Drosophila melanogaster: one gene and its partner. The protein of the gene in region 2 interacts with the protein of the main gene of each other region in a pairwise test. Each region holds a gene or a part of one and is shown on either strand. Other genes may lie near its edges.

Evidence for each region. Proteins that work in one complex are often made in the same cells at the same time.
Region 1: the proteins of spri (region 2) and Strip interact in a two-hybrid assay, tested with the Drosophila melanogaster proteins (one study listed by BioGRID).

What each region holds. Positions count from the first base shown.
Region 1 is NT_037436.4:3,326,865-3,330,464, forward strand, and holds the start of Strip (striatin interacting protein), read right to left. Parts: upstream 2,008-3,600; 5' UTR 2,006-2,007; coding exon 1,835-2,005; intron 1,763-1,834; exon of another isoform or gene 1,579-1,762; coding exon of another isoform or gene 1,387-1,578; intron 1,320-1,386; coding exon of another isoform or gene 996-1,319; intron 690-995; coding exon of another isoform or gene 489-689; exon of another isoform or gene 479-488; intron 1-478. Other genes in the region: Gtpx (glutathione peroxidase homolog with thioredoxin peroxidase activity), read left to right, coding at 489-689, 996-1,319, 1,387-1,578; CG14961 (uncharacterized protein), read left to right, coding at 3,278-3,600.
Region 2 is NC_004354.4:10,583,291-10,587,247, forward strand, and holds the start of spri (sprint), read right to left. Parts: upstream 2,133-3,957; 5' UTR 1,620-2,132; intron 1-1,619. UniProt on the Drosophila melanogaster protein: Potential Ras effector protein. May function as a guanine nucleotide exchange (GEF), by exchanging bound GDP for free GTP.

The DNA.
Region 1 (3,600 bases), on a different chromosome or scaffold from region 2:
AGGTTGCGTGACTCACAGGGTGCTGGGATATACATATATGTACATATAGCTCTTGACTTTGACCCCGATGAATTATGCAGCGTCACTGTAACCAGAAGCCTGATAGCACCCTCGTAAATGTCTATGAAACAACATACAACTATTAGGAAACCCATTATCAAAACGTGAAATAATCTTGGATGTTTGTCGTCGGGTTGTCGAATACAATCTATACACCACATACATTTCCACACTTTCTTATTCGGAAATAAGATAGCTTTGAGCTATCTTACTACTTTACTTACTACTTGCTCTTATCTACTTAACTATTTCGTTAATCAGTAGAAATGTGGACTTGATTTTTATATTTTCCCATTTGAATTGTTTTGAAACGATTGTTGTTCGATCTGATACACAACGTACACATCCACACCAGTAATTCCTTCACTTGCCTAAGCTTTCACTAAATTTGAACATTCTGCCCGGTTATTATTTGCAGCATTTAAAGAATGAGTCTCAGGCAGTTTCAGAACATTTCCCGCCAGGCCCTCAGGTGCTACTCGATGAGGCGGACCCCTGGCCCCGTCCTCGAGCTGAGTCGCGGTCAGAGGCAGTGCCTTCGCCTCTGCACCATCATGCTTCCCGTGAGCTGTGCGGCCACGCCCATGAACGCCATCTCCTCAGCCGCCCAGCACTCCACAGCAGCTGCCGTGAGTAGTGCTGATTGCTAGTTGACTAGATCCTAACCCGTTGACTAACTCAGTTGCTTGATTCTGCGCCTAACTAAACGTTGTAGCCTTTGCCACTGCCTGTGTTCTCTGTTCTCTGTTCTCTGTTGCCTGTTCACTGCAATGAACCGCGTAGCCTGGGTCGATTTTGATACAGAATATAGTGTTTCATACCCCGATTGAAGATAAGGCTATAAATATCTATATCTCTTGATCAAAACATCGACCCAAGCCTTCACAGCCACTAGTAATTACCCAATTCTAACTCCCACTTTCTATTGCTTCCAGATCGACATGTCTGCTAACGGAGATTACAAGAACGCCGCCTCGATCTACGAGTTCACCGTGAAGGATACCCATGGCAACGATGTTTCCCTGGAAAAGTACAAGGGCAAGGTGGTCCTGGTGGTGAACATCGCCTCCAAGTGCGGCCTGACCAAGAACAACTACGAGAAGCTGACGGATCTAAAGGAGAAGTACGGCGAGCGCGGCCTGGTGATCCTCAACTTCCCGTGCAATCAGTTTGGGTCCCAGATGCCGGAGGCCGATGGAGAGGCCATGGTGTGCCACCTGCGCGACTCCAAGGCTGACATCGGCGAGGTGTTCGCCAAGGTAAGACTATTAAAGCTGCTAGCCGATTGCTGTAGACCGAGTCACTAAACTTGCCCCACCCCCGCAGGTCGATGTGAATGGAGACAATGCGGCGCCGCTGTACAAATACCTAAAGGCCAAGCAGACCGGCACCCTGGGCAGCGGAATCAAGTGGAACTTCACCAAGTTTCTGGTGAACAAGGAGGGCGTGCCCATCAACCGATATGCCCCGACCACCGATCCCATGGACATCGCCAAGGACATTGAAAAGCTGCTGTAGATGTGCCCTAGACGTTAGCTGCTCTTTTGGACTGTGTTTTCGCGTAGCTTTAGCTTGTAACCGTCTGGCCACAGATAGTCTTGTGGCCGGCCACATGCACCGCATGGTATATATATTGTCTACTCCTTACTGGTTTTGATTCCCACCCGCAAACATAATAAACGCCATTCGTGGTTACCACACTATCACCTGGGTGTTTGGCGACGCCGGGCACGTACTTTGATCGGTAGTTGGAACTGTATCAATTCGGACTTACCGTGTCAACGCTGGCGCGTTCAATCCGCTTGCTGGAAGCAGCAATGGTGTTAAGCACGTTGATCCTAGACTGGATGGACTGCATCATCGAGGATCTGGCGTTTACGGCGCCACAGCTTAACTGGTTTTTACAAGTGTCAAAAAGGAGTTTATTTTTCTGTTTCCAAGCCATATATATTTGTTAGGTGACTGTGAAATTTGGAGATGTCATATTAAGGGAAAAACGAAATTCACAAAAGAAAGGTATGATGTTTTCAACGGTAGAGCACAATTTTTGAAAACTTGTTCAACTTAATGACCACGAAAGCTCGCATTGTTTTAAAACTAATTAATCTTTGAAAGGACCTTGATCAATTAGTCTGAGTTTTAGATTTTAAAACCCATATTTGCCTTTCTCTATAATGATATTCAAAACAAGTTTGCTTTAATATCCTTTAGATATTTTTGAAAGAAAAGTTACTTTTTCTGTGAGTAGGCAATATCTGTTTTAAAATATTCCCCCTTACCAATTTGACCTTATTGGTGGTTACTTTAAGTGCAGAAAGAAGCAAAAGTACTTCACATTAACCTTTACCTTCTTTCCGAATTCGAGTGCTCCGAGTGTTCGCCAAATGCTCGCCAAACTTCGATTGCGCAAGTTTGCCTGACCAGCACCCCCAAAACCAACAAATGCGAATCCGTCAGCCCATTGGGGCGCCGATCTCGAGCTGCTCCTCCTCCAGTGGAGCAGTTCAACGTCTCGGCCGGATTTCAAGTTCAAACCAGCTGCCAATGGAGCGGCGACTCCGACCTTCCGACAATTACATGAAAATGCTGCACTCACCATTTACGGATGCCATCGAAATTCGCAGTGGAGATCAGGCGGAGAAAAACCAAACTGATGAGCTGGAGCGAAATTAAAGATCTCTATTGGATTAGCTTCTTTTACCCGAAAGAACTTTTCCCAAATTTTCCCAAGAAATTATTTTAATAAAATCGCATATTAAATGATATATCTGTGATATATGAACGAACTTAGGCCCCTTTTCTCTCAGTGCTGGTGCGTGCCACACAAGTGTGAAGCGATGACAGCAATTTGTTGAATGCATCATCGCTCAAATGCGATCGCTCGAATGCCTTTAATTGTAGAACTAGGTTAAGCATCTGAGACTCATCCCTAAACAGTTTGGCCCAGGTCAGTAGCGAAGCTATCGAAGCTATTGTCGCCATAGTGTGTATGCATTGCTATTCCCAGTGCTGCAGTTGACTTTGACACTGATCGCGATCGCGATTGCGAATGCGATCGCTCCCCCAATTTTGATTCCGAATCCACCCAAAATCCGTATAAATATGCGGAGCACACTCCACTATCGATCAGACAGCGGTCAGCTTTGGTGGTGGTCAGCAGTGATTGGACACACAGCTAGGATTTTTGACTTCGGATTGGTAACAGGATTAGAACAGGATGTTCCGAGGAGTGCTGGTGCTCCTGCTGGTGGCCTGCAGCCAGGTGGATGCGGCCACCCATGTCAACATCTCGATTGCACAGCAACCGGCCACAAATCCGGCGGATGTGAAGTACGTCGATGGTATGGCTCCGGCCGAGCTGAGGGCGGGTCCTCAGAGGGATGAGGATCAGCAGTTTCAACGCATCCAGGAGCGACAGCAGCAGGTGCTATCCCAGTCCCAGCAACAACAGCAGCAACAGGTGTCTCAAACCCAGCAGCAACAGCAGCCCCAGCAGCTGTCTCCTCGCCAGGGATTGGGATTGCAGCCGCCAGCTCAGGG
Region 2 (3,957 bases):
TTAATTCTAAGAACTACTAAAAAGATATTAACTGGAAAGAGCCCGAAGAAAGGAAATGGTATCCCAAAAATATCTGGGCACATACGTTTGTATGTATATGATGGGATCGCAACGATTCCTACGTGTATTTAAATGACCATCGCGATAAGCCAAAAAAGCCAAAATATACGAGTGGGATTAGTGGGCATATACAGATGCGATGTTCCCATGCTGAGCGACGAGGATCATTAGCGAAGTAAACCACTGACGATCGCTATCATAATACTGGCATGGCAAACATACGTACGTACAGAGATACCTGGCTGACTGACTGACCAGCGAAAGCAACCCATTGATAAGACCGCTACAGTGGACTATCTAAACCTAATAGCTGTGACAACCGCAAATTGCATGAGGAATACCATATCGACCGGAGGGGTAGTACCGCAGGGTAGGGGAATGTACAGGTAGTGGGACACAGGTAATGACAATAAACATTCTCCACTTATCAGCAATCCGCTGATGCACGCACACAGAGCGAAAATTAGGGCACGTTTCACGCACACCACGGTTTTGGATATTATGTTAGATAATATAGATTATAATTGTTATACCATTTTGCTCTATTTATATATTTTTATATCTTAAGAATGCCTAATTAGTCAATAGTAATAGTAGACCTTGTTTGCTCTGTGCACTTGTGGTTAAGGAAATATTGAGATGATGTTGCGGTTTTGGTTTAGACTTGGAGCTCAGACTTAAGTTTTGGGTTTTTGCCTTTTGATTTTTCGTTTTTTTTTTTTGGCATGCGATAAGACTCGAGACAAAGCCAATTTCCCGCCGATTTCATTGGAAAGATATGGAGTATAGGGGGTTATACATATGTGCTAGCAACAGCTGATTAGCCATTTGAGCAATTTGCAGCACAATCCGTACACATTATCAAAATTTGAGCCGTTTATCATCAGGTGCGTGAAAGCAAGAGGGCGGTGCCCGATGAGGTGAGGAAATGACAACGGCGACAGGAATGCGAATGCGAATATACGAATGCGAATGCGATTGTATGTATGAATGGTATGTAGATGTACGATGGGTATATATGGTAGGTGCTATAAGGTGGCCTGCGAATACCTGGCCGATTAGCAATCCACTGTCAAAATGCATTGAAAGCGAAAGACGACACTAAAGGAAACAGGGACCAAGGGTGCAATGTACCGAGTGTGTAAACCGAAGAGAACCAGGCACAATGTAAAGAAATCCAACGCACTTTTGGCGAGAAAGACAAAAGAGCTTTTCACTCAGAAAAAAAAAAGAATAGTTGTACAGCAGTAATTATTACTATTTATTTAAAGTTAGGTTTTAATCTTTTTCCAAAGATATTGTACAAAGATTTAGTATGATAACCCAAACTGGGAGCAATTAATGGCCAATCCAAATTCACCATCTCGAGTGTGCACTGTATTTTCTTCGAGTGAAAGAAGGGCAAGCGATCAAGAGAGATAGAGTGAGAAGAGAGAGCGGGTGGAAGAGCGAAAAAAGGAGTCCGCGTGGTCGGTGAACTTGAACTTGTGAAAGGATGGGGGAACTACCGGTAAGTGGCTTTATGGATGGGCTACGATCATCACTTTCAATTAAATTACCAGGGGAACGCCAATGCCGCCAAAAGTCGCAACCCGGGAGCCTAGGAACTGGGAATCTCTAGTTCTGAAGATCTCAAGATCTCTGGAACCTGCTCCAATTTTTGTGCGCACTCGCACTCACTCGCCGACAAACTTCACTTCACTTTTCGCACTTAACTCGGCTGCTGTTGTTGTTGTTGTTACAAAACAATTAAATATAAATAACAACGTTGTAGCGCAAATAAAAAAAATTAAACAAAAAAAAATAAATAAAGACCGGGGGAAAAATATAAAAAAAAAGATGTGTATTTAATTGAGCGCGACACGCAGTGATCTTGTGCGACACAATATTATTTTACTTGAGTTGCAGCACAATTTCAATTCTCGCGATCGCCTTACGACTACGGGACTACGGCTTTACGGATTCCGAAGATTACGGGTTCAATTTCTTCTCCACAATTCTCCTTCAGCGAACGAACGAACGAACAACCGACCGACCGACCGACCGTTTGTGGCCGAGTGCGAACTCGAACTAAACTGAACTGAACTGAAGCCGCCGACAAAACGAAGATCGTCGCCGGCAGCAACAACTCGCTGCGATAATAGCAGCAGCAACAACAACAGCAACAACACAAGCAAAATTACGAGATGCGAAACGATGGCGCACAGTGGTCACACTCCTACTGAAAACTCTCCATTCAGTTGATGGATAATGTTAAAAGTTCTTTGCGCCACAAGATATGTATATGAATCTAAACTATTTATCAATAATAAAAGTATATTAAGAGGTATTTTTAACTTAACAGCACAATGGTCGAAGAGTTAAGGAAAGTTGTATCATATGTTTACAGAACATGTTAACAGCACTTTACTCCACAAGATATATGAAACCATGGAGTAATAGCTTAATAGTTAAACTATATTAAAAAAGAACTTAAACTTAACTCTATTGTGGTCACATGTCAGTCATAAGATCTTACATTTTTCAATATATTAATTACAACCATTTACCCAACCATACTAATTTATGAAAGTATAATATCAAAACTATAATATAATGTATTAAGCAAACTTTACGCTTACTCATAGATCATTGTTGTCACTGTGGTTAACATAGGTTGTAAGGAAGATAGCAAAGTTTTTAACTTTGTTAAAGAAATATTTAATATTAAAGTTTATTCTTCTGCTACTAAGTCAACTTACTGTATTAAAAGTTTCCTAAACTATTCTTTCCGTAAATTAACAATGTTTTAAAATGGAAATTACTATGAATGCAATGGATTGTTATATTGGTGTTTTACGGTTACAAAATTTTCTTTAAAAAAGCGCGGAGTTGGCAAAAAATAAATATTGCTCACCAAAGTGAATTATTAAACGGCAGGTGCTGATTTACTTTCGATTTTGGAAAAGGTGCTTGTAATTATCAAAAATTTATGCTGTCCCAATTTAATTAAACGTGTAATGCAAAATAAGCTTATATTGTTTAAAACAAGTTATAGCTGAAAGCCAAAGCTATGGCACATGGAAATCTAAAATGGTTGTTTTGCAATATATCAGTAATATTTTTTCACATGGTACTGCTGACCAAATCAATATTTCTTGCTGTAAAATGAGACTTTTAATTGTCGGAAAATTATGACACCCATAAATTTTAATTAGCAATCTGTTCTTTTTGTCTTTCGTTGTTTGGTTTTAGCTGGAAATTGAATGCACAGACTTTGGTTCACAATCTTAACAGATTCTCTTGAAAATTATCTTTTATCAGTTTTACTATCGTATATGAATAAGTATTTATATTAAAAGATATATTATTGTGCTTAACCCGGTTATATCTTGTTAAGAGGGCGACGTGTTTGTTTCGCTTGATTTGCAGCTTTGTTTGCTATGTGATCGCATTTTTTGCTCGCACTTATTAATTTTTTTTTTTTACAATTCACCTTGTATTGCCAGCCACAAACAATTTGAAAACGCGAAAACTGTCGATGACCGATAAGCAATTGTCGATTACCGATTAGCGTTTTGACTTCTGGAATTGGAAAGAAGCTTCTGATTTCTGATTTTTCACCTTTTTTTTAGCCCTTCCATTTCGAAATTCAGGTTTTCTTGACAGACCCCCATACCCGCCCCATTTGTCGTGTTGTTCTTCTTGTTGTTGTAAAGTGCCATTGTGTCGTGTCGTCGATCTCATTCGCAAATTATCTTTGTTTGCGAAATTGTAATTGTTTTTGCCGTGCACAATTCAGCAAGAAACCGAAGAAAAGGGCTGGTCTCGAAGTCACATTACCCTCTGATAGTTATTATTCCTTCACCTGCGATCTTGACCATCTCAAAAATTAAAAAAAAAAAAAAATGGTAAATA